Regions from separate parts of the Mus musculus genome. Here all the other regions are reported to be linked to region 3. Evidence: microRNA targets listed by miRTarBase, many of them from high-throughput screens and not tested one by one. Region 3 holds a microRNA gene; each other region holds the end of a gene's coding sequence.

The links. The annotated mature microRNA mmu-miR-466i-5p reads UGUGUGUGUGUGUGUGUGUG and lies in region 3 at 2,280-2,299, opposite strand. An mRNA with a match to its seed (bases 2 to 7 or 8) in the 3' UTR can be bound and repressed. Matches are read on the target gene's strand: a 7mer-m8 pairs with bases 2 to 8, a 7mer-A1 pairs with bases 2 to 7 and ends in A, and an 8mer does both.
Region 1: miRTarBase lists Snap23 as a target of mmu-miR-466i-5p. Seed matches in the 3' UTR shown: 7mer-A1 at 1,995-2,001, 8mer at 1,996-2,003, 8mer at 1,998-2,005, 8mer at 2,000-2,007, 8mer at 2,002-2,009, 8mer at 2,004-2,011 and 3 more.
Region 2: the mRNA of Fam169b is a reported target of mmu-miR-466i-5p. Seed matches in the 3' UTR shown: 7mer-A1 at 6,507-6,513, 7mer-m8 at 6,506-6,512, 7mer-A1 at 6,129-6,135, 8mer at 6,127-6,134, 8mer at 6,125-6,132, 8mer at 6,123-6,130 and 13 more.
Region 4: miRTarBase lists Maf as a target of mmu-miR-466i-5p. Seed matches in the 3' UTR shown: 7mer-A1 at 6,280-6,286, 8mer at 6,278-6,285, 8mer at 6,276-6,283, 8mer at 6,274-6,281, 8mer at 6,272-6,279, 8mer at 6,270-6,277 and 18 more.

What each region holds. Positions count from the first base shown.
Region 1 is chr2:120,598,042-120,606,153 of GRCm38, forward strand. It overlaps Snap23 (synaptosomal-associated protein 23), which reads left to right. Exons shown (of 8, transcript NM_009222.3): 8 at 1,235-2,681. The coding sequence ends at 1,300. Lrrc57 (leucine rich repeat containing 57) reads right to left here. Exons shown (of 6, transcript NM_001159612.1): 5 at 7,907-8,092; 6 at 6,197-7,217. The coding sequence ends at 7,176. Among named protein-coding and RNA genes, the nearest start is that of Lrrc57, 7.3 kb to the right of the region's middle.
Region 2 is chr7:68,360,189-68,368,300 of GRCm38, reverse strand. It overlaps Fam169b (family with sequence similarity 169, member B), which reads right to left. Exons shown (of 9, transcript NM_001374636.1): 9 at 5,220-7,059. The coding sequence ends at 6,979. Among named protein-coding and RNA genes, the nearest start is that of Gm16158, 11 kb to the right of the region's middle.
Region 3 is chr3:85,461,569-85,469,680 of GRCm38, reverse strand. Mir466k (microRNA 466k) reads right to left here and starts at 2,304; the gene lies at 2,183-2,304. It overlaps Gm31419 (a long non-coding RNA gene), which reads left to right. Exons shown (of 6, transcript XR_001783866.1): 2 at 7,705-7,921.
Region 4 is chr8:115,699,317-115,707,428 of GRCm38, forward strand. Maf (avian musculoaponeurotic fibrosarcoma oncogene homolog) reads right to left here and starts at 7,578. Exons shown (of 1, transcript NM_001025577.2): 1 at 3,937-7,578. The coding sequence starts at 7,547. The coding sequence ends at 6,435.

The DNA.
Region 1 (8,112 bases), not on the chromosome of region 3:
TGCACAGAGAGCATTCTTGCCATACTTTTTTGCATCGAAAATGGGCTGGACGTGGTGTTGATGCCTGTAATTCCAGCCACTCCAGAGGAGTGGGAAGATCACTTGAACTCATAAACTCAAGGCCAGCCCAGGTAATAAGATCTAGTCTCAAAAAATAACTAAGTAGAAAAGCTTGGGAGATGTCAGTTGGAAAGCACTTGCCATGCAAGCATGAGGACTTGCATTTGACCCTAAGTACTCACATACAAGCCTAGACATGGTGCTGTGTGTCTGCAACCCTGGGGTGTCAGGGGGCAGGGCAGCACTTGTTTTTCAAGAGTACTGGGAAACAATTCTCAGCACCCACATGGTGGCTTACTCCAGTTCCATCATCTTCTTTGTGGCTTCCATAGGCACATGGTACACAGACATGTATGCAGGCAAAATACCTATACACATTCATTACATTTTGTGATGTCTGGTGGCATATACTTTCAATCCCAGCACTCTTGACAAGTAGAGGCAGACAGATGACTGTGAGTTCCAGGTCAGCCAAGGTTACACAGAGAAACCATGTCTCAAAAAAATCAAATCAAATTTTACTATGTTTTTTATTGCACTGATGACTGAATATCGGACCTCGTGTGTGGCAGCCGAGTAATCTACCACTGAACTATATATATCCTCATCCTCTTTTCTGTTATTATTTTGAGACAATTTGACTATAACCCTGGCTGGTGTTGAACTCATGATATTCTTGCCATATCCTTTTGAGTGCTGCAATTACATGCCCATATCTAGGTCCCAAATATATAAAACTTTGTGTATTTGTGTGTGTGTGGGGGGGAGTGAATATATGTCCATAGAATTGCAAATCATATATTCTGCCCCTGAGCTATATCCTCAATTAAAATTAAATTTGTTGATTTTTTTTTCTTTTCTCCCCAGCCTCTATAAACTTGATTTTTGAAACAGAATTTCATGTAGCCTAGGCTGGCCTCAGATTCACTGTGTAGTTGAGGAAGACCCTGCTATTATGGTCCTTTTGCCTCTTCTTTCTAAGTGCTAGGATTATAGGCACAGGCCGTGATGCCACTTTTCATGCAGTGCTGTGAAATTGAACCCAGTGTCCAGTGCATGCTAGGTAGACACTCTTCCAACTGAGCTGCACCTGAATTCCCCCAGTTTAACTTGTGTTCAAAATGGGTTATTTTGTGAACAGAGGCTGATATTTATTTCTCTTTTTTTTTTTCAGGCTGACACCAACAAGAATCGTATTGACATTGCCAATACAAGAGCAAAGAAACTCATTGATAGTTAAAGCCCTGCTGTACTTCTTTACCTGTTAACTCAGTTCTCTAGCTCCGCTGAGTCATTTCTTATTCAGAGTTTGAAAGGCTGTGAGAAGGAGCAGAGGAGGAATGCCTCGCTACTTTCTTACTTTGTCTTTAGGGGGTAGGTTCTTGCTCAGGCTTCCTTACAGTCTTTCTCAGTCACTCTCATAGGCTTCTTTCCATACATCACCGTCTCTTCATCTCTTCATTTAGCTTCTTTTGCGTTCAAGATTTGGAAGCATTGCCAAAGAGCCATGAAAGAAGCAGCTGTATAAGTAGCTTTTGTCATTATTGGTATTGGTTGGTTGGTTTGGTTTTGGTTTTGTGGTAAAGAGCAAGAGGAAGGAATAGGAAATGAAGCTGACTCATTAAAGAAACTACAGGTCACAAAAACACAGACGAGTGCTTGGGGTGGGAGCTTTCACACATGTGTTTTGTTCTGCATCACTGTTTTTCAGCTTCTGCTCCAAAGGAGAATACAATGAGTTTTCTAGAAGTGAGCTTCACTTCTGAACCCATAGTGATTTGTACGTATATACATAGGTTCTTGGATCCAGTTTCATATTGCACATGCAGGAACATTATATAAATGAGTGCCTTTTATTCTCACACAATGAGTCATGGCATGGTCCCATTGTAGGCCTGTTAACTTCATGAAGTTGACGGTAGCCTTTAAAAGATACACACACACACACACACACACATGAAATAGGAGATTTCCTCAAAGTTTTGGGGAAACTTTTACAGTGTATCATGTGAATTCAGATTTACCTCAATACTAAGAATTATGTTTAGATATGAAAAAAACTTGTTTTGATCTCAGGTAGAAAAATAGATTGCTTTGAGTTTTGTGTAGTTTTAAACATTTAAAAAGTCATAATTTGTTACTAAAAGTTGTTTGGAAAATTATGCCTTTATATTAATTATTGATGACCGCACTGCCATTCTCTCTGCCTTATGCACAGAATCAAGTTTATGTAGATCCTGAAGTGTTAGGGAAGCTGAAATGGTATTTGTCACATTTGTTTAAAAATTAGCATCTGTACACTTTAGAGCTACTAAAGTAGACTGGTTTCACCAATAACCATTGCTTTATTCTTACAATTAAATTTTATAATTAATGATATTGTTCTTTCAAATAGGTAATGTTTCTATGACTTATTTGTGGGGGCAATCATTTTATCAGCTTCTGTTGACATTAAATAAAGCAAATGTCCATACATCAAGCACTCCAATAGAAAGCTGTATTAGCTCTCTTCTAATTTTTAGCAGAAGTGTTTACAGGAGTTTCTATGGTTTGCTATGAGTCCATTCTAGACATTATCTTAGTCATTTGTACTTAAATACACTACTGAGTATTTCTGAGTGAGAATTACAAGTCACTTATTGAAGAAGATAAATGTAGCCTACCAACATTCAGAGGGTGAAGAGGACAGTATTTAAAACAACAGAGAAATGCCTGGCATGGTGGCGCACACCTTTAATCCCAGCACTCGGGAGGCAGAGGCAGGCAGATTTCTGAGTTCGAGGCCAGCCTGGTCTACAGAGTGAGTTCCAGTTCAGCCAGGGCTATACAGAGAAACCCTGTCTCGAAAAACAAACAAAAAAATCAAAGAAGCACTCCATGTCAGAGTGGTTCATTTGTCAGGTAAAGATACTGAATTTAAGAGGTGTGGCTAAGTCCAAAACACTGAATTGTGCTGTACCTAAAAGTGCTTTCCTTAAAAACATGCTGATTTGTCTAAAGGAACGGTACCAAAAGGTGGCATCCAAGGTATATTTGGTTAGAATATGCACCAAAACCCCTTTGCTCTTGCTGGCTGGTGTGAATGTATGCTATTTCTTTGTCTTGGTTTCCATATCTGTAAATGGGGATTAATAAATCTTATTTTATAAACTTATTCACAGACCAGTAATGCCCAGAAATTTCTTAGAATATGCCAGGCTCAGAGTCCATACTGGTAATCCCAAAATTTGGGAACCTGAGGCACAATCTACCCAGTGAGTTGTGGGCCAGCCTAAATTGTGTCAAAAAACAGCACCCCCTCCCCCCAAAAAAAGAATCAACCAACAAAACTCTTAGAACAGTGCCTATAAGATGTAACTGTCATAAATGATAGCTATTTTCTCTAGACTGGAGGAAGCTCTTTTTGGTCAAAGATCTTAGGTTTCCCCTTCTCCAGAGAAAAAGCAAAGAAGCAGATACCAAGTGCCTTTGCCTGCTGAACCATCATGCGCACCACTTCCATTATTTTTGAGATACGATAGCAAGTAAATACAAGCTGGAGATTTATTTTTGGTCTGTTTTCTAGTATAGTGATCTTGAATACAATACCTGATTACAGATAAGAGCTAGTATCTTGTACCAAACTTTTTGTTTGTTGTTTTCGTTTGTTTTTCTTGACACAGGGTTTCTCTGTGTAGCCTTGGCTGTCCTAGAAATCACTGTGTAGACCAGGCTGGCCTCAAACTCAGAGATCTACCTGCCTCTGCCTCCCATGTGCTGGGATTAAAGGTGTGTGCCACCACCACCTGGCAACTTTTTATTTTTTTAAACTGGGTCTCACCATGTAAAGCTGGCTGACCTCAAACCCAGAGATCTACCAGTCGCTACTCCGCAGATACTGAAATCAAGTGTGCCACTACACCCAACTTCAAAATTTTACGTTTTAAAAAATTTTAAAGCCCAAATTTCATCTTAACTTATACGGCTGTACCTATTTCATCCCTTCTTCAGTTTTAATGTATTCTTTGGTCAATTCTTTTTTCTTTCTTTTTTATTTTTCTTTTTTCTTTTTTGGTTTTTCGAGACAGGGTTTCTCTGTACAGCCTTGGCTGTCCTGGAACTCACTCTGTAGACCAAGCTGGCCTTGAACTCAGAAATCCGCCGGCCTCTGCCTCCCAAGTGTTAGGATTAAAGGTGTGTGCCACCACTGCCCGGCCTTTTATTATTATTATTATTATTATTATTATTATTAGTAGTAGTAGTAGTAGTAGTAGTAGTAGTAGTACACTGAAACTGTCTTCAGACACATCAGAAGAGGGCGTCAGATCTCATTAAGGGTGGTTGTGAGCCACCATATGGTTGCTGGGATTTGAACTCAGGACCTTCAGAAGAGCAGCCAGTGCTCTTAACCTCTGAGCCATCTCTCCAGCCCTCTTCAGTCAATTCTTAATCTTTCCTTATCACATATGGATTCTGACTCTTCTATTAAGTTAAACATCTTATTATGAGCATATAAAGTTAAGTTTCTAGGACTGGGGATGTAGAACCGCTCAGTTCATGAAGTGCTTGCCTAGTATTCAAAAACTGGATTCAGCTCTGGACTACCGTGTAAGCCAGGTGTGGTGGTTGCCCTCCAAACGCAGCCCTGGGTAGGAGGATCAGGGGCTCAAGGTCATCCTCAGGCTCAGTTCCAGGACAACCTGGAATATGTGAAACACCACCCAAAAACCAAAATGGCCAATAATATGGCTTAGCAGGTAAGGCTGGCAACCCAAGTTTGAACTCCTCCGGGACCTAAATGGTAGAAGAAGCAAGCCAACTCCTAAAAGTATTCTTCTGACTTCCACATGTGCTGTAGTGGATGCAAGCTTGTGTACACATATACATAAAAAATGTAATGAAAATAAAAAGCAAAAGCTATTTGAATGCCATTTTCCTGGATGCTCTTAATTAAAATTCCAAGTTATCCTAATTAGGTTCCTAATTTATTTCTCATATTGATATTCAGGTTCCTTATCCTGAAGTCATTGATTGATCTTTTTTTTTTCCTCTATAGATAAGATAAATGGTTTGTTTGTTTCACTGAGTTCCTGCTGTGTCACTTTTATGTATCTTCTCTCTATAATACATACTTGAGAAGTGAGAGGTATTCCCTATATTTACAGATGAGAGTAAGTTGCCCAGGAAGCTATTAAGTAGCAAAGGATCTATATGTTGATTCCTCCAAGTACAATGCCTGTGATCTAACTCCATGTACTAGCTGACTCCAAACCAAACTAAAATTTAAGGCATATTGGGTAGGTTTGTTTTGTTTTTTAAAAAGATTTTGTTTATGAGTGTTAAGGTTGCATGTATGTATGTGTAGCACATGTATGCCTACTGCCCAGAGGCCAGAAGAGGGTGTTGGGACCTCCATGGAGGTGGAGGAACTGAATCTGGTCCTCTGTAAGGACGAGTACTTTTTATCTCTGAGTTCTCTCTCCAGTCCCTTTATATGGTTTTTTAACCTCAAGCACTTCAGATTAGCAAGAGAGATAAATATAGGATGTGGAAAGTATTCTATCAGCAAATGGGGGAGCAGCTAATTCGGATTAGATTAAGGGAAGGAGCTTAGATACGGGTCAGCACCATGTAAGTGAGATGGCATGTCTTGACTTACTAACAGGAAGGCATTCTGGAGCAGTATAATTTGGTATGGTTGGACATACAACTGAGACTAAAGAAAAAGGTGCTACTTGCTGATTCTTACAGACACATGTAAGTTATTTATAGTTTCAGATTTGTTAGTGAAAGGCACTGTTCAGACAGAAGACTTCAGAAAACAATCTCTATGATAGCTTCACGACGTTCTTACCAGTAACAATCTGAAATCCTGTCTCTGTACCTTCACATTCTCTTAAGCACAATTCCCAGTTCCTCAGAAATGTCTGCATGGCTGCAAAGGTGTTCATTGCCATAAAACCAAACAAGAGTGTGAAATATATCCCAATTTTCTCTTTCCTGTCTTTCTTTTTGGCTTTTTTGAGACAGGCTTCTTTTTTTTTTTTTTTTAATGGTACCCAGTTTACTTTCAGAGAGCAAAGAGAGAGGGTGTTGGGATCTCCATGGAGGTTAGGTTAAAAGTTCTTTAATTGATTAACATTACTTCCAGACAAAGTTCATTAAAAATATTTTATTTAGAATATTCTCTCATTCAGAGAGTAACTATGATAAACATAAGTTATTTTAAAATATTGTAGCAATGGTTTTCTTGAAGGTAATCTGATTAGTACAGTTATAAATACAAAAGGGGGAGGAGTTACCAGAAATAGCACATGATTTTTAACAAAGCTTCAGGAAAATCTTGATTATTAAAATTAATTTAAAATCCTACAAGTAGGCTGAGTGTAGCGCATGCCTACAATCCCAGCATGTGGGGGAGGGGAGAGGTGTGAGGTTGGGAGATTTTGAGTCTGAGGCCAGCCTGGGCTACATAGCAAAAACCTGTCTAAAAACAAAAATTTTGTATAATTTTTGCATATAGTTTTAGCTCTTTCAGAGCCTTCTACCAATAAGGCACCTGCAATAGTAAAAAAAAAAAAATTTGCTACTGCAGCCTTGGGGAACATTCTCGGTGGCTGTTGTGTTGGTGCTCCTTTGACAAAGGTCTCTTCAAGACAGCTACATATTTAGGTACATCCTAAGTTCCAAGTGTAAACACTGCTATTGAGTTAGTGTACAGGAACAAACACATTCATCCTTAGTCATACGTTTCCCACAAATTAGAATTTCATAAAAAATATGAAGTATTAACACAGAGGTGATGGGAAAGACTTTATGAAAGCTGACAGTTCGCAAACTCAAAGTCTCCAGCTATGGCAAGCAGCATTTCCTCCCTTCATGAACAGCAGGTTCCTTAGAGCCCAACTAATGATAGTTTTGAAGATCAACACTGGCCATGACCTACACGGCTCAAGATGAAGGGTTCTTCCTGTCTCCTACTCCTAAATCCCTTTCCTTCAGCTTATCTGACATAGTCCTAAAAAGGAAAAAGTCATTAAGTAAAATGTTCTCTGCAGTGTATCCAACATCAGGAGCCTTTGACTCAGTCAGATTTCAACAGAGGTTCCAAGTCTGTCCCATGATCCTGGAGAATATCATGCAAATTTCTTCTTGGTGGCTGTGAACCTCTCCATGTACTAAAAACATGAAAGAAAATTATACATATGGCATTTGGTGTAGACAAATATAAGAATCCTTTTTTTTTCAATGATTTATTTTTATTTTACGTAGTTTGGTGTTTTGACTGCATCTATATCTGTGTGAGGGTGTTGGATCCCCTGCAACAGGAGTTATGGATAGTTGGGAGCTGCCATGTGGGGGCTAGGAATTGAATCCTGGTCCTCTGAAAGAACAGTCAGTGCTCTTAACTCCTGAGCCATTTCTCCAGCCCCCCCTCCCCCAGGGATACTTTTTGACTTACGTTTTTATGTTTTTTTTTTCTTTTTAATTTGACTTGATTAATTTCATACAAAACTAACTCCTTTTCAAGGCAGAATCTCACTATGTAGCCCTGGGCTGGCCTTGGACTCAGATCTGCCTGCCTCTGCCTCCCAAGTGCTAGGATTAAAACCCTGCTCCAAACCTGGCAAAATCTACTTAAATTCATTAATTTTTGCCTCTTTTTTTTGGCTAGGAAACATCAAAAGATGCAGTGCGATAATCAATATGTGGAGAAAGTCACTTGGCACAATACAGTCTGGCCAAGTCTTAGAGCTACCTCCAAAACAAACTTGTCAAATGCTAACTGTAGACATCACTTAAGTTTAATCTCATTAGTTTTTTCTCTGGAGCAGGCACTAAAAATGTAAAAGATGTTAATACACACCTTATCATAACCCTCTAGTTCTCGAAGTTTCTTTATTTCAAAGAGATTGCCTTCCACAGCAAGCAGGCAGATTTGGGAGTCACTGAGGATGCTCTGTGGAAGCATGCTGAGCTCAAGGCAGTTCTCTTCCAGCCGGAGGACCTTGAGGCGAGGACAGCAGGATATCTTCACAGAGAGCTGAGAGATCTGTCAACAACCAAACAGTA
Region 2 (8,112 bases), not on the chromosome of region 3:
CCAATGTTATCTATCAAAAGGCAGCGGGCAGGCCTTTAGAATCAAAACTTGATCTTTTTTTTTCCTAACATAGAAACTGTAGAATCCTGTAGAATTCAGGAAACTGAGGCAGAAGGTGGGCTGGTACAAGACCAATTAGGGTTAGAAAGGTCAAAAACAGAAAAAGCACAGCTTTAATCCCAGCACTTGGGAGGCAGAGGTGGACAAATCTGAGTTCAAGGCCAGCCTGGTCGACAGAGTGAATGGGCGCCAGGGCAGCCAGGGCTGTGCAGAGAAGAAGAAAAAGAAAAGAAACATTGTCTCAAAAGAAAGAGCAAGAAACCCTAAGTATTTATTTTTATTTTTAAAATGAATCATCATGGTGTTGCTTATGGACTCCATGTCCCCACATCCCAGACCCCCCCCCCCCCAACCCCCAGCCCCTGCCATGCCATCTCAGAGGGCCAGGCCCTGGGCAGTCATGGCTATTGTACTGCATGACAAGGGACATCCCATTCTGGCCTTAAGTTGTGTTTCCAGTATCACTAGGGCTTTCCACAGTTTTCTGTCCTGTGGCTTAGTAGTTTCCCCCCATTCTGCCTTCCCTGTCTACTCATTGTCAAGAGCCTCGAGGAAATGTGACATGTCTGAAGAAAATGAGGTTACAAAGGATTAGCCAGTTCCGTTAAGCAGCCCTTGACCCTTCACAGAAACACCTCAACGCTGTGACATCGAAGGAAATTACTCCTTCCTAATGTCTTGTCTGAAGCTGACCCAGGGCTTTCCCCTGGCCAGAGCTGGGGCTGGGATACCCTTAGACATCTTGCTCTCGTGTGGTGGTGCAAGCTCAGGACAGCAGGCACTCATTTCTCCTCCCTCTCCTGCAGCAGTCTGTGCTCTGAAGCGGAGACACCGAAGAGGAAGAGACGACACAGGAAACTTGCATCTCACGGTGTGATGGCTATTCTTGGTTGCCAACTCGACTACACCTGGAAGTAACTAAAACCCAAAAATGGAGGCCACACCTGGATTCACTTTTAGTCTGGATCTTTGAGGTGGGAAGACGCACATCTAATCTGGGCCACACCCTCTGCTGTCAGCCTATACAAAGACATGGAAGAAGGGAGCTTGCTCTCTGCCTGCTGGCCCTCACGCTCGCTCTCTGGCAAGTTCAATGTGGCATTAAGATCTATGTCTTCAGGATCCCATTGTATACTGAAGACCTGCTGAGACACCCGGCCTTGTGGGCTGAATAACTATGAGATTCATGGACCTTGCATCCCTAGGCAGCCATTGTTAGCAGTAACAGGACCATAGCCCGTAAGTCAGTATAATAAATCTCCTTGCTGTATATAGATTCATTCTCTGTTTGTCTATAGAGAACTCTGACTAATACACACAGCTTCTCAAGATGAAAACTCAAGGGCCTAATTTAAAACTACATCTTCAGGGCAGGGTAGAAGACACCCTGGCTAGACATTGGGAGGCCCTGGGTTCCATCCCCTGCCCCAGGGTTTTGGGGGAAGGAGCACCTTCTAGCTGCAAGTGAGTAACTCTCTACAAAGAGAACTGCAAATTCAAATGTTCAGATTGCCTCCTATGGACAGGGTATATAAATCTGTATTCTCAAAAAGAACAGAGCCAATGGGATGCCGTGTGTGTGTGTGTGTGTGTGTGTGTGTGTGTGTGTACACCTAAAAACACATACACTGTCTTAGTTGCTGTTGTATTGTTGTGAAAAGGCACTAAGAGAAAGCATTTAATTTGGGGGCTTGCTTACAGCCTCAGAGGGTCAGTCCATAATCATCGGGGAGCAGGGGAGCAAGCAGGGATGGTGCTGGAGAAGAAGCTGAGAGCTACATCATAATCAGCAGGCAGCAGGCAGCAGGCAGAGAGAGACACTGGGCCTGGCATGGGTTTTTGAAACCTCGAAGCCCACCCCCAGTGACACACCTTCTCCACCAAGGCCACACTTCATAATCCTTCCCGAACAATTCCACTAACTGGGGACCAAGCATTCAAACCACCGAGCCTATGAGGACCATTCTCACTCAAACCACCACATTCTGTTCCCTGGCCCTCAGTGGCTTATATAATAATGCAGAATGCATTTAGTCCAAGTTCAAAGATCCCCATATAGTCTTTTCACTTCAACGCTGTTTTAAAGTCCAAAGTCTCTTGGGATTCTTGCGATCTTTTAACTGTAACCTCCTATAAAAAACAAAAAGCAAATCGCGTACTTCCAGCATACAGTGGCACAGATTCTACCTTACCATTCCAACAGGGAGGAGGAGGAGCCCTGCGGAGGAGATGCTGGACCAAAGCAAGACTGAAAGCCAGCTGGGCAGACGCCAAATTCTGCAGCCCCATGTCTGATGTCAAAGTGCTCTTCAGGTCTCCAACTCCTTCCAGCTCCGTTGACTGCCGCACACTTCTTTCCCTTGGACTGGTTCCACTCCCTGCTATCAGCTCTTCCTGGCAGGTATCCCACCGCTTTGGCATCTCCAACATTTTGAAGTTTCCAATAAAATCCAAGCTTCGTTTTCACAGCTTCGTGTAATGGCTTCTCTGGGCCTTCATGCAGGGACTCCTGTGCCTCCTTGGCTTTCTATTTAGCCACAGAGGAAGGTTCCAGAGCCCCTTTCCCATATATTCCTTGATAAAGCCAGAACTTCATAAAGTTTTATAGCTGAAGCTGCTAAATTCTGCTGCTTGCTGGTGCTGGACGCTTTCCTTTGTTATTTAAGCCTTAAAAAAAATCCCCCAAGTCTTTTCCTTTGCAGGATTAGCTGGGTGGGTCTTGCCCTGAGGTTACCAATTCCTTTATTCCATTTTAAACCAAGCCTTTTATAAAACTATCCCCTCGAGCACAGAGTTTGGCTCCATTTCCTGATGTTCATTTTTATTTCTCTTTGCCGTGCTCCTCCTTTTCCACGGAGATCTGCAGGAGAGTGCCCACTAGTAACCACGTGATACAGTCAATCCTAGGCTGTCTCGAAATCTCCTCTGCCAAGGACACTAATTTAAAATTCTCCAATAGTGCTCGGGTAGATTTTTTTAAAACAAAGCCAGAAATCAGACACATACATTCTTTGCCAACCCATTATAAGAATGTTCTGTAGGCCACTTGCTATTACTTCTTGCCCTCAGAAACGTCTTGAGGTGCACCTGCAGGGTCCACACCGACCTCGTACTCCTGCCCTCCATGATCCTACTAGGATGCTCCATCAGCCACACTTCCCGCAGCATTCAAGCTAATTCATGCAAAGCACTAAAGCATTCACTTTTCTACTTCAAATTCCCAAAGTCTCCCATATTCTTCCAACAAACAGAATGTCAGGCCTATCACAGCGATGCCACAGATGCCTGCCGTCAACTTCTGTCCTATTGTTCTATTGCTGGAAGGAGGAACCATGACCATACACACACATACAGAGACAGACTGACAGACAGACAGACAGACAGACAGACAGACAGAGAATGGATGATAGATAGGTAGATAGATAGATAGATAGATGATAGATAGATAGATAAGATAGATGATAGATAATGCATAGATGTAGATAGATGGATGATGATTGATATGACATGATAGATCTATTAATAGATCTATTAATCTATCATTTATTAATCAATAGATGATAGATAGATAATAGATTAGAGAGAGACAGACAGAGAGACAGAGAGAGAGAGAAGTAGGTCAGCTTTAGGTAGTAACAGCAGGATCACACCTAAAAGCTGAGAGTCTGGTAGTTACTCAGTCCTAGAGGCCGGTACCTCAGCAGTAGGAGTCCCGCAGTCTCTCTCACTGAAGCAGGACAGGGAATCGGTAGCTTCTCCGTGCACACGACTGGGTACTTCAGCAGGGCCAACCTGTTGCTGGAAACCTGTAAGGTTCCTGGGGAGACACTGGTCCTTAGCCCACAGGGAAGGCCTGGAGACAATGGTTCTGCTGTCTGTGATAGAATTAGCAGCAGCAGCAATGGGCAAATCCACTCAGCCATCAGGGGGAGGCCAAGTGTGCAGATGCAGGTGAGCTTCCTTCTGCAAACCCTTTTATCCAGGCTCTACCAGAAGGTGCTGCTCACAGGCAGGGTAGGTCTTGCCACATCAAGCAGGACGGACACTTCATTCAAAAGAGGCTCCCTAGTCAGGTGATTCTACTTTGTGGCATTAAAATCAACCATAACACAGGGGTTTAGTATATACAATATACAAAAAAAAAAAAAAAAAAAAAAAAAAACAACCTGCAAAACTTAAACACCAAAAATAGTCATTGGATAAACTGGTCAGGGAACGAGAGGGGGGGGGGGAGGAAGGAAGGAAGGAAGGAAGGAAGGAAGGAAGGAAGGAAGGAAGGAAGGAAGGAAGGAAGGAAGGAAGGAAGGAAGGAAGGAAGGAAAAGGAAGGAAGAAAAGAAGAGAGGAAGAAAGAAAAACATAGAGGGTCAATAAATATTTTAAAAAGTTTCCACTTTCCTTGACAATTGAAGAAATGGAAATTAAAGCAATGATCTCAATATTATTGTCTCAGGCAAAGCTAGAACTCAATCTAAAAGCCTATCAGCTGAGGACTGGATGAACAAATGTGGCACCATGGATCCATGCAGTGGAATATTACTCAGCCCTGAAAAGGAACGGAGTGCTGACATATGCTGGAACACAGTTAAGACCTCTGAACATTGTCATCCTACTTGAAGAAAGCCAGCTGCCAATAACTTCTAAGGTATGACTGCAGTTATGTGACATGCTCAGAGCAGGCGTGTCTGTGAGCAGTGACCTAGGGATCATGAGCAGTGAAGGGAAAGGGGGTCGATGGACACGACACTTCTTTTGGGCACAGATTGGGGCGGTGGCTGCAGAAGCCCTGAAAATCACTTTTACATTCAGTAAACTGTATTCGCAGCAGCTGTTTAAAACTCTGTCATCCCAGCACTCTGGGGCCTGAGACAGAAAGCTGGTGTGTTTGTGTAGCCTGGGTTACACAGCAAGACCCTGTTTCAAAGTGGGTGAGGGAGGCAAGTCCATTAAAAATCCTGAGTAAAAACAGAATTAATGATCTTGCATAAACAGGCTCACTGCACACTGACAATCAAGAAGTCCCACAGTGTCCTCCCCAGAAGGCACCCTGCACCAGCCTAGTGCTGGCATCTGCTGTGCCAATACCAGGGTGGGCACTGCTCTGATCCAGAGAGCCTCTCCCAACACCGTGGGCACCTTGAAAGTCCTAAAATTAAGCTATTAACATGTGGAAGGTCTTTATTGAGCAATAATGTTACTAAATCACAGAGATACTTATGAGTTAATTTTCATATAAACAGAAAACAAGAAATCCTCACAACACATGAACTACATGTTAAAGAATGTGTGGGGTCCCACACAAAGCACCCCTCAGATGTTCAGTCCATGTCTGTGGTCCGGGCTTCCTTCACAGACCCCCATATGCAAACGGGGTCCTCGTGATGTCCCTGTATGGAGCTGCAAGTTCTGCTTCTTCACAGTCGGGCCCCTCCCTCTTTGCAATGTGTGTGAGACGAAGAGAAACTGCAGGAGACACTCAGGGCAGCCCACCCAGAGAGAGCAGCTCCCTGAGGCTGAAACCAAGCCTCAGTTTAATGTCCCAAGCACGACACAGAGTTTGTCCCGCAGAAAGCATGCTGGATGGGTGGAGAAAGGAAGGAACAAGAGAGGACAGGCTGGTAGGGGATACAGCAGTGAATCAAAGGAAATAGAATGTATGTGTGAGTGTACATGTGTGTGTGGTTGTGTAGATATGTATATGTATGATATATGTGTGTGTGTCTTAGTTAGGGTTTTCCTGCTGTGAGCAGACACCATGACTAAGGCAAGTCTTATTTAAAAAAATTTTTTTAATTGGGGCTGGCTTACAGGTTCAGAGGTTCAGTCCATTATCATCAAGGTGGGAGCATGGCAGCATCCAGGCAGGCATGGCGCAGGCAGAGCTGAGAGTTCTACATCTTCATCTGAAGGCTGCTACCAGAATACTCGCTTCCAGGCAGCTAGGATGAGGGTCTTAAAGCCAGACACCCACAGTGACACACCTACTCCAACAGGGCCACACCTTCTAAAAGTGCCATTTCCTGGGCCTAGCATATACAAACAATCACAACGTGTGTGTGTGTGTGTGTGTGTGTGTACATACACACACATATATATACAGATAAATGGGTAGAGGAAAGGGGAGAGAGGAAGAGAAGAGGTGAAGGAAAGAGGAGAGAGAGAAAATGAGAGAAGTATGTGTGCACACATGCATGTGTGCATGTATGTAGAAATGAGCAAAGAGCTGCACGCTTTGACAAATATAAGACCCCACAGCATATGTTGCTGAGCATTCAGGGAACATAAAGTGTCGGGCCCACTTTCTCAGGTAGAAATCCTCCCCCGAATGCAGACATCTGGACCCGATGGCACTGAAGGCAACATGGGCAGTACACTGAGCCTAATGCAGTCCAAGGCCCACAGTGGCCACCATCAGGCCCTGGCATGGTTGACATTATCCAGCCCTGGTGTGTGTCCTCAAGGAGCTCAGAAGTGACTGACAAGTCCCCAGAGATGGAACTTGTCTCCCTGAAAACTCCACTGTGGAGCTCTGAGGTTACAACAAGGCTGAATGTACATCATGGATGGGAACCATGGTCCATCTCTGAGCCCATTTCCACTAAGGGGAAGTGTGTTCATTCATTCACAGGGTCCCACGCATCTCCCTCCTATTCTCCTGGGGAGTGGAAGCAATGGTCATTTTAATGAATGACGTTCTAAAGTCCTGCATCTGCCAACAGTTGGCCTGCAAAAGTGGCTCCCATTGAGTATCTGGCTCACCCAAGCACTTCTTCAGACCCTGTTGTTCCGGAGCCTACCAGGGGAGCCAGAGATAACGATCGCCATCCTCAGGACCAGAGACTATTCAGGGCCGTATAAAAACCCTCAGGCTCAGATCCTGGAGAAGCCAGACGGCCCTCTGAGGAGTTAGGTGCCGAGTTCACACCTGACGCGCTTCCTCACACACTTGCGCACAGCGTCGGCCATTCTGTGTCCTCTCCGGTTCTCCAACAGCCCACTCCTGAAATCAGAAGGTAACACTGTGATGAGGTCCTGACGGACAGTGCAGGTCTAGACATAGGACCCGGGGTGAGCTGGCTTGGCTAGCCCCACCCTTCATGCTGAGATTAAAGGCGATAAGTCACGTTTGAACAAACCAGCTAGTGATGCACAGGGGAACATATTTGTCACCGGTGCACATATTTGCTGGATGGACCCGAAGGCCAGCCTGTACAAGATTTAAGTAAGGTCAGAGCAGAGCAGGAGAGCCACGCACCCAGCACCAGTAGATGATGGACACACTCAGCTAACACAAGTCAGAACACCCCAAACAGCTCAGGCTGTACTGGGCATGCCCACCCTTCCCAGGTCATTGTCCCTACAGTACCAAACAACCATTTCTGTGGTGTTCACTGCACTGGGTGCCCAACTCATCCAGAGATGATGTCACGTGTGTGGGAGGGTGAGTGAAACAGGGACACCATTTCACACAGGGGGCTTGGGCATCCAAGGAAGGTCCAGAAACCAACTCCCATAGACACCAAGACACAACTAGACATTGTTGTGTTTGTCTGTTTGTTTATTTGTTATGGGGTCTCCTGTGTTCCAGACTGTCCTTGAATTCTCCACGAAGCTAAAAATGCTCTGATTTTCCTGCCTCTGCCTCTTTTGGGATGGACTCACAGGGGGTACACAAGTACAGCCAGATTCTACAAAGCTTCATGCGTGTGAGGAAGCCGTGTACCAACTGAGCTGCAGACATCCCGAGCCTCGCTTTAAAAGCGTATCCCGTGTGCTAGAGTGAAGCTCCTCGCAGAAGCTACAGGTTACTAAATGAGAACCCAAATGACAGTGTTGGGCTACTTCCCTGTGAGATACAGGACAGGGACGCACCAGAGGCTCCAGAACAGGCCACCGCACTGTGACCAGTTGCCCACCAGAACTACAAGACAAGGTCCTACTGCTGGCTAAAAGACAAAGGGGGATCAAGCTGCAACTGGGGGCTTCTTCCCTTGCTGGTCAGCCCCCATGCTGCGAGAAAGCACAAGCGGCACAGGCTGTCATGGACTGTCCT
Region 3 (8,112 bases):
CTCCAAAGCACTCTCGAGGGCCCACCTCGTGGCATTCTCTCTAATGGCTTGTTTTTGGATCCTCTTGCCCTTACTGATTACATGATAGCAGCTGTTCCTGCCTTGGGGCTTCGTATTGGCTGTGTCCTCTACTGTATTTTCTTCTGTGGGTCACTGTCGGTGCTAAATGCAGTGAAATGAACTAGCGAGACAGTGGGCCCTGGCAAGGGCAGAAGGAAACAGTGACATGGGGTGACCTGAGCGGTGGCATTGTGCAGACAACTGGAGGAGGAGAGAGGACAGCTCACACATATCAGTCTGGGTGGAGGGAAAGAGAGCTAGAGGCCAGCTGGATCTGGTGTGCTCTCTCTCTCTCTCTCTCTGTTTCTTCCCGAATCAGTGGCTTTAGATACACCATCGCATTATCTAAAACCTCCCTCCTTCCCTCCTCATCCTGCCTGCTCCCCCATCTTCTTAATTGGGGTCAATCTTTCCAAGTCTCTCAGCTCAAGGGAGGAAGTAGTATCTGCTGTAGCAGATGGTCCTACATTCTGGTGACATCCTAGCTTTCCAGGTATCCCTTGGAAACAATCTTGAGTTTGTAGCCTCCCAACAATATGAAAAGTTAGACTTAGAAAAAAAAATGTTTAAAAGGAAGTAAATAAATATTTTTTCCTCTGCTATTCATATAAATATTCTGAGATACAATAATAATAATAATAATAATAATAATAGCCTGAAAATACCCTGGGTGTGACCAGTTAGTTGAGAGCTGGCAGTGTGTGTGTGCCCTGTCAGCTGCAGGGTGATAGCTAGGATTTAATTGCCCTTCCTAAGATGCAGCTCAGTAGAGTGAGGTGAACTAGAGTCTTTCTATATACATGTCTCTGAGGACAAGACTCACAACAGCTTCCACGTTACCCAGGACCCAGTTGGACCGTGGACACTCAGGCTTCACCACAGACCTCCTGGCCTTATTTCCTGGGGGTTGGTGTGCACAATCAGCTCCAGGAGAGCCAATCAAGTCCTTGTGGATGTCATGTCTCAGTGTCCTCTTTATTAGGATGTCACAGGTAAATTCCTGTGGCTGGTGCCAAGACAAACTGCCTAGAACATTTTATTTGCTGGCTTGCTCTGATTAAAGTGGAGAACGCACTGCACTTTCTCGTTTGTGGTCACCTGCTAAATCTTTACCTTATTTCTGGTGTTGCCTAACACAGCGTCTCATACACAGCAGAAGAGAAAGAGTCACTAAATGAATGAATGAATCTATTTCCTATTTCCTTCGAAATTTGAGCCTCTGCACAGGCTGAGATGTACTGGCGTGCTTTGTGTTGTTGTTGGAGGTGGAATCTGGGGTCTTGTATATGCTGGGCAAGTGTTTCATCATTGAGCTATAACCCAAGAGCTAAAAAACTTGTTCCGGTGGCATTAGGGTAGCAGACAATTTTTGGGGAAATGAAGTTTGTTTCCAGAAGGCCTAGGGCTGTGGAATCCTGGGTATAATGGATGCTTAGAAGAGAAGAGATGACTTCAGGTCTCAAGGACTGAGGACATGTCCCTAGTTTTCAGTGACTGGCTTTTATACCACCAGAAGCTCTGCACACTCTGTACTGACCCTTTTCCTGTGAACTTCCCTGTGTAACATTTGTTCCTCTGTTTTATCAGCTGAATGATGGAACCTCACAGCCAAGAACTTTGAGAGGTCAAAAGGACCTGGCTGCTTCCTGCAGGTGGCAATGGCTTCCTTTCTTCTTCAGCCTTTAGACAGTTTGGATTTCAAATTATTCCATCACTTTCTAGAACATTCCAGATCCAAGCTCTCCTCTCCTATCACAGATGTATTCTGCAGCGCTGGGCCTCTCTACTGCATGTGGTTGTGGGAGAAGAAAGCCGCTGAGGTAGTTGAAGCCATGTTTAGCTTTTAGTTCTGTGAGGCAAGAGGGCCAGGACAGAGCATTTCCCCTTCCCTGTCAAGATATCAGCACCTGCTTGGGAAGCCAGAAGATGGAGGAGTAAAAAAGCTCCTGTTCCTCGGGGGCTTGCAGGTAAGGTCACGGCCAGTGCAGAGGTGCCAGTCTTCTCCTGCCCTATAAGGCTGCTGCTACCTGTGAAAGATCAGTGCAGTTGCTTACCTGTCACCTAGGCCAGATGGAGACACAGCCATCGGAGTCACAATTAGTAACACCTACTCACCATACACACACATGCACATGCACACATATACACATATATTCACATACTCACACACATGCACATGTACAAACATATACACACACATACTCACATGTACATGTACACACACACACACACACACACATATATATGTATATACACACCTGCACACACACACACACACACACACACACACACACACATATCAATAGAGAACATGCATATACACGTACATGCACTCATGCACATGCACACCCATGTGTATATGCACACACATACATACACATATACACATATGCATGCACACACACACATACACTTATTTCTATAGGAGGGTGTACATGAATGTATATCACATGCACACATGTATATGTGTGTGAATATAGGTGAATATACAGCCCCTCCCATCCTGGAAACTAGCACATTCATATAAGACACCATAATACAGCTTTTCAATATTTTCTTTTCTGTAAGAAAGTAGGGAATTGACTGAAGTCCAGGGCTGTTGCAGTTCAGAAGTTCGGCTCTTTATCTAAATGTGGCCCTGAGAGTTAGGCAGCAGATGGAGGTAACATGGCAGCTTCCAGGGCTTGGAGTCAATGACTTCAATGAACAAAAACAGACACTTTCTTTTACTCGCTCCATTGAGAACATGACCACACATTCCTGGCTCACAGGAGACCCCTAAATCTGGAGGCCACTCCACGATGTCTCCTCATCCTTAAAGTAGAAAGTGGGACTGCGGAATCTGTCATGTGCTCCATCTTGGGCCACTGATGGGGTCTGTGTGAGATGAGATCTGATTTGCCTCGGTTATTCTGGGATGCACATTGGCTACTCTGCCCACTTCATCCATTCTGAGCTACTACCAATCTCCATCCTTACAGGCAGCAGCCAATTTGAAACGTACAGTTGTATACTCCCACTTCAGGTTACTTTTGCCAACACATATTACCTTATGTTTATTTGAGTTAAGTTTCGTCTGCCTGCAGGCTGCACAATCCCCCAAAGTGTTCCGATGCACCTGGAATTTCTTGCAAATCTTCTCTGTTTTTATTAGCCACAACAGTTTGGAACTAGTTGAAACCTCTGGGAAGAGATTAGACAACAATTACTGCCCGTTGCTCATGTAATGTCTGGCCAGGTACATGAGCCAGCAGGCCTTGCTTGGCGGGGTGGGGGTGGGTGGGCATGATAGCATTTCTATCCACTGGTCTGTCTTTTGAACTCTCAACTCTGGACAGGTACCAGGGAGCCAGCCTATCCTTGGGGTGTATGTCTACACAGGGGCATAGAGCTGTCTTATTTACAGGTTTTAGAAGCTACTGCTCTGGAGCCAAGGGAATGTGTGTTATCAAGGCCCACTCTGTCTGGTCCCCTTGGATATTACAGAAAGAAGGGACAGAAGAAGAGAGCCGAGGGAGGGGAAGGAAGCTTGCAGCACTGCTCGCTATGCTGGGTTCTGTAAAATCAGGTGATTAGACATGGGAGGAGGAAGGACAGAAGTATCACCCTTCGGACTCCTCTGGAGAGGCTGAGACATCACCATGGTCACATCCTGGAATCTGGGAATGAGGACTGGTTGAGGCTGGAAGCCACTGTCCTCAAGACCAGGTAGGACATCAAGGACCAGTTCCACGAGCCAGGATGGAGGAGGTGAAGCGGGCTGCTGCTTGCGGAAAGCAGCTTCTGTGAGCAAGGCTGGTGTGTGGGCAGCAGCTTAGGCTGAACGGATCCCAGAGCGTTCCAGCGAGCTAATCTTGTCAGCCTCAAGCTGTTCCACAGACAGTGGGTGTGAATCCAAAGCCATCTTAGATGCTCAGCTCTCAAATGTTTCTTTTAAGAAAATAAAAAAAGAGAGATTGAAGGTACACCAGACCCAAATGGGCCAGTTACCTGGGAAGGTTAGACTTGTGAGCTGTGAAGTGCAAGTATGCAGATGTTAGAGACGATGGGATGAGATGTGTGTATGGGGGTGGATGTCTCTTCTCTGTCAGCTATATCCCTGGATGAGAGTGTCTGTCTCCTTCTGCCTCAAGGATACTGTATATATCTGCTCCACGTGTAGAAGCAGAAGTCAGTGGTATCCAGTCTCCAGCCCTGGACTCGTCTTCTCTCCTGTTGTCTCTGCTTTCATAGTCAGTTGACTGTGCCTGCTTAAACTGTGCACATATAGAAACTAAATCTTGAGGAAGGAGGAACCCTAGGAGAGTAATATAATCCTGATCCTGACTTCTAATTAATCTCTATGGGGAGAAAATATCTTATGTCTGTATGCATGTGGCAACTGTCAGTAATAAATTTGATGACCTATAACTTGGCAGGAAATAGGAGGTAGGACATCTGTGAGGTAGAAAGGATTCTGGGATAGTGCCAGGTGGGAGATACACTGGGGAAGATGTGACAAGACAGATACCTGGTACCTGAGCACAGGTAACCAGCTATGTGGCAAAATGTAGTTGAGCATAGGTGGGTTATTTTAAGTTCTGACCTAGTTAGAGAAGAGCCTAGCTGTATGGCCAAGGTATTGTAAACATATTTTGAGTCTGTGTCTTATTTCTGGGAGCATGGGAATGGGAGGAAGAACAACCTACCTTCTGTATCCCTACTCTACCATTAGTCTCCTGTCCCTCTGTCCTTCATCTTTCCATGGCTGCAGGGAAGACCTGATGCTCAAGATGAGAAATTAAAACCACTGTCCCGGGGGGTGGGGGGTGCGGGGTGTTACATGGACTGTAGTCTGGGTCAACCAGAGTCACACTTGAAAAGGGGAATCAGATCACACTGATTCACAGCAACACCTATGACCCCTTTAAATAATGAGTGGCGATTTCATGTTACTAGCATGCTGTGACAGAGCATCACAGATCACACGGCTTAAACATTAGGTATTTACTCATAATCTTGAAGGCTCAAAGTAACAGCACAAGTGTTGGCAGGGCTGCTGTCTCCCGAGGACTATGAGGAGGAATCTTTGAGGCCTCTCTTTTTGGCTTGTAGGTACCTGTCTTCTGAAGTCTTCACATGGGCTGCACATGTCTGGGTCCACATTTCTTCTTAATATAAGATTAGGGACTGCCCTAATGGCTCTATGCTGGTGTGTGTGTGTGTAATACGAGCAACCAACTCCTGGTTGATTCTTCCATTGTCAAGCTCCACAGAGAATTCAGAGTGCTCTTGGGTACAGCAACAGCAAACCTCTTCCTCCATCCTTCCCAGGTGCTTTGCAATTCTTTCTTGTGTCTTTACTACTATTGCTGTGTGCATGCATGTTTATGTGTGTGAGTGTAGGTGCCTATACACACAGTACATGTGTGGAGGTCAGAGGACAACCTCCACTCTCCATCTTCACTTTCTGCCTTGTCTAAGGTTTTCTTATTGTTTGCCAGAGTAGCTGCCTGTGAGCCTCTGGGATTCTCCTGTCTCTATTGCCTATCTTTGCAGAGGAACTCTGGGATTACAGATGTGTACTGATGTGTTAAACTTTATGTGGGTTCTGGGGAGTCAAACTCCAGACCCTACACTTGCAGGGCAGTTGTTTTAAATATTGAGCCATTTTCTCAGCCCTGCTATTATTTTTTTCATACGGGGTCTTATATTGTAGCCAAGGTTAGTCTAGAGCTCATTATATATGGAATCCAAGTTAATCTCAAACTCAGTCCTCTTGCCTCATTCTCCCAAGCACACTGGAATTACAGGTGTGAGTCACTACTCCTGTCTTGCATTCATTCTTACTACCCAGTTTCTGACTGCTCAGGATAGAGTTTTGGCAAAATGATACTCATTCTTCCAGTCAGTGGTTATCCAGAGACATAGTATTGGCTGAGCTGTCAGGAAGGAAATAGAAATGATTTTCCCTTAGGTATAGCAGGGTGGCCCCACTGGAGCCTGGAGAGATGTATGTTCTGTCATTTTGGAAGTACCTTAGGGGGCAAAAGCAAGTGGATTCTGGCCCAGGTATTATACCATCCCTGTGGAGTTGCCCAGAGACTCAGCCTGGGGACACCATCACAGGAGGAGACTGGGGACAAAATGTAAAATTAACAAGCTACCCTAGAGGGCCATGTGGTAGTTCAAATGAGAATGCCTCCAAAGGTTTACGTATTTGAGGGCTTGATTTGAAGTTGGTGGAGTTGTTTGGGAAGGATTAGGAGGTTGGCCTTGTTGGAGGATGTGTGTCCCTAGAAGTGGGCATTGAGGTTTCAATGGCCTATGCCATTCTCTCTTTCTCTGCCTTCTACTTGTAGATCAGATGTAAGTTCTCAGCTACTGTCCCAATGCCATACCTGTGTGCCTTCTACCATGTTCCCTGCCAAGATGGCCTCCCACTCTAACCTTCTTGAACCAGGATCACCAAATTAAATACTTTCTTTTATCAGTTGTCTGGCTGTGGTGTTTTGTCATAGCAATGGAAAAGTAACCACGACAAAACTGGCAACCAGAATCTTGACCTACACTCAAGGAAGGGGAGAAATAGGCACACACAAGCTGAAGTTGGCACCTCTGTGCACTTGATTGAACAAGATAGCATTTTTGTGAACAGAAATACACTGTGATCACCTTCCTCCTGGCTCCTTAGGAAAACCATCTTCAGGAGAGCTCATTAGTCGGGTAACTATGCAAGTGTATGTTTATCCCAGGTGCCACAGCAAGATGTGCAAAATATTTTCTTCTTTTGATGCTTGAGGTGAATTTTATTAGGAGGCTCAATTGGAGCCTGGCGTTCCTGTCAGATACAGTGTAAGCAAGCTGTGCCTGGCTGGAATTTTCCATTCAGGTTCAGAGCATGGGTCCACCTTCTTGCCCACTGAAATAGGGACACTAACTTGGGACATGGTCTGTCATGCCACAGTTCCATACTGTCATCTTTAATTACCCAACCACTGGGGAATTCTTGTGGCCATTTACCTTGAAGTGGAAGTGTTTTTCCTGCTTTTGTTAAAACAAAATCAAAACCCAAAGCAACCCACCCACCCCTCAAAAAAACCCAAAACCACATTTTCCATGTGTATCCAAGTGAAGACAGTACAGAAGTCTACGGAACAAATAACAAAAATTCCCTTTAATTTCTTATTTCTGCAGAGTCACCCTCCCGCCTTCACGACTACTTAATTTATTTTTATTTTTATTTTTATTTTTATGTGTGTGTGTACATGTGTGTGTGTGTGTGTGTGTGTGTGTGATATACATGTGTATGTGAACGAGCGCTGTATTAGCGATCTCTTATACTGCATATCTTATCCACTTACTTACTTTTTTCCTTGGAGAAATTGTCATGTTAGTACATATAGCACTACCTTAGTCTGTTAATCAATGCATATTATTTAATTTCTCTCTTAAAATGGACATTTCTTTAGATTATAGAGTATCATACTATCACAACACTAGCTCATTTTTCTTTACCCTTGGATTGATCCCAACCACTTAACGTATTTAAAGGGAACCAAAAGATGTTACCCTCATGGCAATGTGCAGTGTGAAGAACTGTCCCCAAGCCTGGAAGTTCTAACCTTGTCTCTCTGCTCTTGCCTTTTCTATTGACTGCTGTAGCTTGAATCTGGAATGTGCCCCGAAGACCCATGAGCTAAAGGCTTGGCTTTCAGATGCTGTTGGAGTGGTGGAGCCTTTAGAGATAGGCTCTAGTAGGAAAAAAATACATGACTGGGAACATGCCATTGAAGGAGATTGTTTTCCATGGTGATGTGCTGGACCATCAGAAGCCCCAGAGTAATGGTGCCAAGTGATAAAGGCTGAAACTCCCCAAACTGTGAGTCAAATCAACCTATCTTACTTTTATTACCTCAGGTATTTTTATCTCAGAAAAACTGACTGACACACTTACCAATAGTGCCCTCTTCTAAAATGTAGAGAAGTCGGAGTAGAGGGGAATGGGATTAAATCTTAATAGTAGTTCCCATGTCATAGAGATACGAGAATTTTACAATGTAGATACAACTC
Region 4 (8,112 bases), not on the chromosome of region 3:
TGTCCCTGTCCCCTATGGCTGCTCTACTCTGGACTTGGGACATCTCTGAGCTTGAGGATCAGCTGAGAACACAAATAAACTTCAGCGTTTTGAAGGAAAGCACAGACTCCATGTTATTCAGTTAGGATCTTGAAGAATCAATTGAAGTGGTAGAAACCACAGCCTTCGACTGCAGAGAAAACTTCCCTAAATCCCCCAAAACAACACAATGGAACGATAGTGCCTCTTCCAAGAAAGGGTGTAAATTATTAGTTTTATAATCCAATGTAAGTCAGTCCCTAAGGGAAGTCCTGCAAATCAGCCCTCCAAAGTGGGCTGCGAGGGGGGCTGACTTCTGATGGCTCTCTCATGGACAGTTTGTAGGAGCATTAAGGCCTCAGAGCGGCAGTGGGAGGTTTTGGTATGCAGTGATCAGATGTCTAAATGCTGTCACTCATGATAAACAAACAAACAAACAAACAAACAAACAAATGATGCCAGGGTTGCAATCAGACTTTTAAAAATATGGGTTGGTCTGATATACATCAGTAGTATTTTATCAAGCTAAGAATGTGTAAGCAAAGGGGGGTAAGTTTCCCTCAATCAGAGCAGGGTAAGACAACAAAGACCCTGAAAGCTCTGTGCTCCTAAGCCTTGGGGTGCGTCACAAGCAACTTCTGTGACTGAGACAAGGAAACGCAGGGAACCTGGCTGGAGAGCCGAACTGCGTAAAGGTGACTACCATTCTTCTATCTGAATGCTTTTAACAGTAACATTGGTGGTTTGGCCAGAGGAAGTCCTATTTAAAAGCCCCCAAATCTAGAAGTGATGTTACCACATAAACAGGACTCTGGTAAAGGTAAAGGGGAGGAAAGAACAGGGTGTTAGCACCAGACACATTCAGCAAAAAAACAGCATCTCCCATTGTAGGTAGTGTCTGTGTGGAAAGGGGGTCTCAGTGGTTCAGGCACCAAGCTGTAAATGCGCACATGATTTATCAGTTGGGAAGAGGTTGCAACTATTTGATATCAATATATTAATATGTTGGATATTTTATGAATTTTTTTTGAAAAGGGGAAATATACATATGCCAGGAAATTAAAAGTAAGTGATTTTTGTTGAGCGCCTCAGAGGAAAAAACACTGTATATGGGGGTGTGCCGGAGGAGCATCCGGAAGGTGTGTACCTAACTGTATTTTACCACAATTGGTTTCATTTACAGCTATGTCTGACAAATGACACGTTTGACACCAATCAATACTAGTATCACCAGGACCTTTGAAAACCTAAAGTGTCCCCATCCACAGAAAGCTGATGCCCCTAACATGGGTTTGGGGAGAGAAGTCAAATTCTTGCTTTTTTTTTTCCCCCTTAGTATAATTCTCTGCCAGGAAAACAATAAAAATGAAGATATACTGTCAGGAATGTGCATGCATGAATTTGCTTTTAAAAATACTAGCTGTTTGCTTTTGGGAAAGTTTTCTTTATAGATATGTTGGTATAACACATACATACACACACATACACACGCATGCACACGCGCACACATGGAGGTGCTAATTCCAATAGATTAAAACAAAAACAAAAACAAAAACGATTGTCACAGCTGGAAAGCTATCACACCTGTTTGGTTGTATGCCTGATACATGGCTAAGTGCAGAGGCCCTTTCCTGGGAGTCTGGGAGTCCTTCAGACAAGGAGTGTAGTTACTTAATTGTTTAGTATGGTGGCTACATATTTATTAGCCTTCTTCTCGAACACATTTTTCTTTAGAAAGGACAGAAAATGGGAATCATTCCCCAGAATCACAAACAATATTCTCAAATGGACAGCTTGCATTCATCTTATGGGCATCCCATATTTTATGAACACACTCACACTGGGCACACGCGGCTGGGCTTCCCAAATGTGCCATATCCCGCTGATGACTCTAACTTGCCAGTGGGCTGTTTCATTATTGGAATGATAGGAATTTTAACACTATTTAGACAAATGCAGGGGAAAGGGGAAAAGGAGACTTTCTTATTCTTCGATTTCTTTCTCTTTCTCTCCTTCCTTTGTTTTTAACCTTTGGGAATCTATTTGTACTCATGGGCATTTGGACAAGATACGTCTTTTTTTTTTTTTTTTTTTTTTTTTGCGTTTAGTTCTGTTTAGTATTATCTTCTGAAGTCTCTCGTGTCTGAAAGCGCTTTTCAGTGAAGGTTAACTTTTGCTTTGAGCCAGTCACTCCGCCTCCTCTTTATTCTGATGGTGCTGTCTCATTTTCTAATGTCCAGGGCCCAAACTGGCTTCTGATATTGAACTGCTTTATAGAACTCTATCAAAGTGATTAATTATTATATATAATTGCATCTCCCCCACCCCAACCCAGGTCTTACTCTTTGATAAACAACTGCGACCATCGTGTTACAAATGCCTCTTGTGCCTAAGAATATATTTGCCTAAACTCTTTCTTCTGGTGCTGAGCTTTGGGTCCAAGTGATATACCCATTTCCTCCTCGCCAGACTGGTAATGTGTGCCTATTTTCTGGCTGTAGTCAGATGATGAAAATCTCTAAAGCTGAGGACGGCTAACTTAGAGCATAGAAGAGAAGTTTTGCCATTAAGATTTCTCTGTCAAGCAGAACTAAGTGTTTTGAGGACTCACGTCTAAGCTCACCGAGTGACGCCAACATAGGAAGTGTAAACAGTCTGTGTTCTGTGCAAAAGAGCCAAGGCCCATGAGAAACAGGCCAGGATTCCCCAGCCTGAAGGGCTACCCGATTCCTTAGAAATCAGGCCTGCATGGTGGGTTGCAATATTAGCTAGTATTTTAAAAAAGAAAAAAGAATCGAAAACATAATCAGACAAAAGTCATTTGTGTTTCGCTATATTTCCAAAACAGTGTTGGCTTTGTCTACTATGGGATTAATTCTCAGGGAGTCCTACCGAAAGAGAAAATGCCATGTATTTGTAACATGGTTGCAGGAATTTGTGTCAGTTTTAAATGGGTCAGGGTTTAGGAATTCAACTGAAGGTAATTGAGATATTTTTCCAAGTGATCATTCAATTAGACCCCATTCATAACCTGCTTTGGGGGCAAACAGCAATATATCAGAGCACCGCCTACACCCCATGAAAATGTTGTTTTCTTTGTATATTTATATTTGGGGGACTCATGTAGTTATCCCTAGCTTATATGCTTGGAGACAGCTCTTTGACTATTCGAAATATAGTTAGATAATATAGATAAAACCTGGTGTGAACTGGAAACTCTGTGTGCAAATGATAGACTTTCTTTTTCCCATTTAGGACAAGTGACTTGAAAAGTTTAAAAAAAAATGACAGGGGGAAAAAAGAGCAAAATCAAACAACTTTGATTTGTGCAAAGTGTTTATGTTTAGTCTTGTCAGGACTGTGCCAACAAGAAAATCACAACATGTAAGGGAAGAAGAAAAAATAATCAATTTTGGCCAAACGGCAAGAATTATTTATCTTTACCATTAAATGCATATGTTCCCATGCACCTCTGGTGAGCCAGACTTGCTGGTCCCAGTCCCTCTATCTGTGCTCCTTCGTCAGAAGCTTAGAGTCCTGTTCAGAAAGCTCCTATGTGCTCTCAGTGTGTGTGTGTGTGTGTGTGTGTGTGTGTGTGTGTGTGTGTCTCTGTCTGTCTGTCTGTCTGTCTGTCTATCTCTCTATCTTTCTCTCTCACTGTCCCTCTTTCTCACTTTTTTTCCTTACTAGCTCAGCCTATTAGGAAACTAAGATCTGTGAGGAGAAAAAATAAGATGTCATAATTTGTATTAATATTAAATATTGTTACTGACTATATGGTGTCAATCTCCTGCCTCTCAGAATAGAATTCCTGCCTCCAACTCCCTTGTTCAGAAATCAAAGAGAATGCATTTTGTATTTCATATCCAAGCTCCAAGACATGGGACCCAGTTAATCTGTACACTAAGAAACGGAACAGAATCAAAAAAAATGCAGTTTATTATTGTAGATTATTCTTTCTCTTGATATAACCAGAATTGAAAATGAAAGAGAAGCATGTAGAACGTCACGCGTGGTTAGTTAGTAACTCAAGTTATAAAACAATTTTGCACAGCAAAATATGTAAAAGAAAAGTAACTGACAAGATTTCTTATATTTATTGTGGTAAGATTTCCTTTCCTTTTCTTTCTTTCTTTCTTTCTTTCTTTCTTTCTTTCTTTCTTTCTTTCTTTCTTTCTTTCTAAGACAGGATGTCAGTCCCTGAAAATAACATTTACTGGTTATTGCCTTTAAAACTGTGGATTTTTTTAAGTTACAGAAAATCCAGTTCTGCACCACAACATAACTGTAAAAAATCTGCATCACTTTAAAACTGTGCAGTAATGCCATTTTATAACTGCATAAATTTTATTAGCGTTCTAAACAGTTTTTGCGATTTTTTTTTGTATTATATGCTTGCAGGTTATATCTTAGTGCAATTCAGTCCCAAATACTTTAATTTTGGAAAAAAACATACATTTTGAATGTAAAATACCCCTACAGATATAAACAGGGGCATTTCCCCTTTTAATACTTTGGTTTTCAATACAGTCCATGGTATAGCAAGAACTACACATACCCAACTTATATTTAAGTTGCAAGCACATGCTTCAGAAAGCTACTTTTTAAACAGTCCCCTTGCAAACTCTACCCCCCTTAACATCACAACAGTAAACAATTTAGTGCATCGGTCTTTAAAAAAATCTACAGCTACACAGACCTAACTCTTTCAAATGTATCTATAACATTCCTTTATCTGTAGCATACATTTTAACTGGGCTAACAGATTATAAAATCTAGAATTAAATTATATACTAGAAACCCATAGCATTCCACATTTGACAATGACCAAAAACCAAAAAAATTAAAAAAAAAATAGAAAAAATAAAATAAAAAAAAATAAAACCAACCAAAAAATAATTGGGGCAGATTTTTTTTTTCTTTCTTTTCAAAGAAAATTTAGACTGCTTTTGGCAATAGCACAATTTAAAGTGCCCCAAAGCAGGCATCATTGTTTCTAAAAAGAAAACATTTAATTTACGTTCTATAATATTTGCCATATAAATTTGTAGCCCATTCTGCTATCTTTGACAAGGAACGCCTTCAGTGCATGTACAACGGGAGGCTGAAGTTCATTGTAACTCAAAGCAGTCAGGAGTAGAAGCAAACTGTCAAGGGAAGAAGGCTCTGGGGTTGTACTTTTTCTGTTGTTGTTTGGAACTCAAAAAAGTCATGAGGCTGTAAATCAAAAGTATGGATGTCATGCGCTAAGTCTTCAAAAGTCCATTTCCAAGCCAAATTGGGGGGAAAAAAAAGGAAAAAAATAATTATACCATACATGTCCAGCATGCAGGCTTCTTTTATTAATATAATGTCTCTTTTCCATAATGTCTTTGAAACTGTTATAGTTCATTGTTGCTAAGACAAAGTAGCAAGCATCGTAATGCATGAGATGAGAGTAAGTTTGTTTTTGTGTTTTTGTTTGTTTGTTGTTTAATGGCAGACTAAACTTTCAGATTTGGCATCATAAGGCCAAAACTCACAAGTCACACCCAGAAGGTTGATGTAGGCTTGATTGTGGCAGGTTCAGGAGTGGCTTTAGTTCATTCTGTTTTAGCATAACAATGCTAAGATAAAACCCCCGTGGAACTCAGCTCGCTGCAAGGTCTATAGCATTTCACATTTTTTTTTCCTTTGCAAGCTCAATCAGAAGAACTCAGAAGGAGGGGAAAAAAAAACCCTGCTTTTTTTTTTTTTCCTTTTATCTCAAGAACATGGTGCAGGGGTGGGGGTGGGGGGTGGCAGAGGCTGGGAAACACAGCAAGCTCCAAAAAATTAGTAATAGTAATAATAAACAAAAACAAAGAAGAAGAAGAAGAAAAAAGAAAATCCAAACAAAATAAAACACACAAACACACACACACAGAATGAACACCAGCTCATGAGCTGAAGAAGAAGAAGAAAAAATATATATACAGGCAATTGATGGCCCGGTTCAAAGGTGAGCTATGCCCTACATGAAGTATGCTGCTCAGATCTTTGACCCTTGTGCAAGTCCAGGGTATGTGTGGGGCAGGCGGTGTAAAAAGAGTAGTAGTTGTAATAATAATAATAATAATAAAAAAGAACAAAACAACCAAGCTAGCAAGTTACGGGGGAATTCAGGTTGGCAATCCATGAGCCAGACACCCTTTCCCTCCCCAATTCAAAAGAGCCATCACCACCACCACAAGCTTGGTGTGTGTGTGTGTGTGTGTGTGTGTGTGTGTGTGTGTGTGTGTGTGTGTGTCTGTTCAGGGCCAAGGGGAGCAAACTCGCCAGGGGAGGGGGCGAGGTGGTGGCCGAGCGAGCTTGGCCCTGCAACTAGCAAGCCCACTCAGGAGCGGGACCCCCACGGAGCATTTAACAAGGTGGCTAGCTGGGATCGCGTGTCACACTCACATGAAAAATTCGGGAGAGGAAGGGTTGTCGCTGCTCGAGCCGTTTTCTCGGAAGCCGTTGCTCACCAGCTTCTCGTATTTCTCCTTGTAGGCGTCCCTTTCGCGCACCAGCCTGGAGATCTCCTGCTTGAGGTGGTCTACCTGCTGCAGCAGCTGGTTCTTCTCCGACTCCAGGACGTGTCTCTGCTGCACCCTCTTGAAGCGGCAGGACTGGGCATAGCCGCGGTTTTTCAGGGTCCGCCTCTTCTGCTTCAGTCGGATCACCTCCTCCTTGCTGACCCCGCGCAGCTGCCGGTTCAGCTCGCGCACCGACATGGTCACCAACTGCTCGTCCGAGAAGCGGTCGTCGAAGTGCAGGCCGCCCGCGGCATGGTGCGGGTGCAGGGCGCCCCCCGCCCCCGCCGTGCCCCCGCCGCCGCCTCCGCCGCCGCCGCCCCCGGCGCTGGCCGGGCCACCGCCGCCCGCGCCACCCGCGCCGCTCGCAGAGGCAGACGCGCCGCCCGCGGCTCCCGGGGCGCCGGCCGTCGGATGGTGGTGGTGCCCCGCGGCGTGGTGGTGGTGGTGATGGTAGTGGGGTGCCGCGCCGCTCTGCGCGGCGGCCGCGGCGATCACGGCGGACACCACGGCGGCGGCGGGGCCCATCTCCTCGCCGCTGCCGCCCAGGGAGGCGCCGGCGCCGGCCCCCGCTGCCGCGGCCAGCTGCTGCGCTCCCCGCGCATAGCCATCGAAGCCACCCTGGAGCTGGTGGCTGTTGCTGATGAGCGCCTCGACCGCGTCCTCCGGGCTGAAGCCCAGCGCCTCCGGGTTGAGCTGCTGCGGGTAGCCGGTCATCCAGTAGTAGTCTTCCAGGTGCGCCTTCTGTTCGCTGCCCGAGCCCGGGCTGGGCGCCGAGAAGCTGGGGGACGGGGGCACCGAGCTGCAGGGCGTGCTCATGGGGGTGGAGGACAGCGAGCCCCCGGCGATGAGACGGCCGCACTGGCTGATGATGCGGTCGGTCTCCACCGGTTCCTTTTTCACTTCAAACTTCATCAGATCGAAGTCATTAACATATTCCATGGCCAGGGGACTGGTGGGCAGGTCGGAATTGTTCATTGCCAGTTCTGAAGCCATCCTCCTGCCTCCGCCGCCACCGCCGCCGCCGCTCCGCCAGATGGGCTGCAGGAGAGGGGCCAGCGGGCTGTGCTGGGTGGCCAGCGGGTGAGCCAGCTTGCCGGGCTAGGGCGCTTCTAGCTTGCGCGGCGGTGGCTGTGGCCCGAAAGCTCGAACGTGCACACACCCCCCGCCCTGCCCGCAGCCCCCCGCGCCCGCCCTCCCTCCCCCTGCTCACGCCAATGTGCTCTCTCTCTTTCTCTCTCTTGCTCTCTCGCTCTCTCTCCTCCGCTCGCCCCGGGCCCCCTCCTCGCCTGCTCGCCTCCCTGAGCTCCGATCCCGGGCGCTTCAGGCTCGGGAAGGTCCTCCGCGGCTGGCGGTGACGGTGGTGATGACAGCGGCAGAGAGGATGCCGGAGGAGCACGGCCCGGTGCGCGGCGTCCCCGGCTCGCCGCTCCGCTGCGCGCTTTGCATAAGGAGGGCTCGCCTAAGCCGGCCGGGCTGCAGGCGGGGCGCGCGCGGAGGCTGCTCCGGGGCTGTGTGGCGCGGCGGGTGGCTGTCCCGGAGGCGCCGGCCTCCACACCGG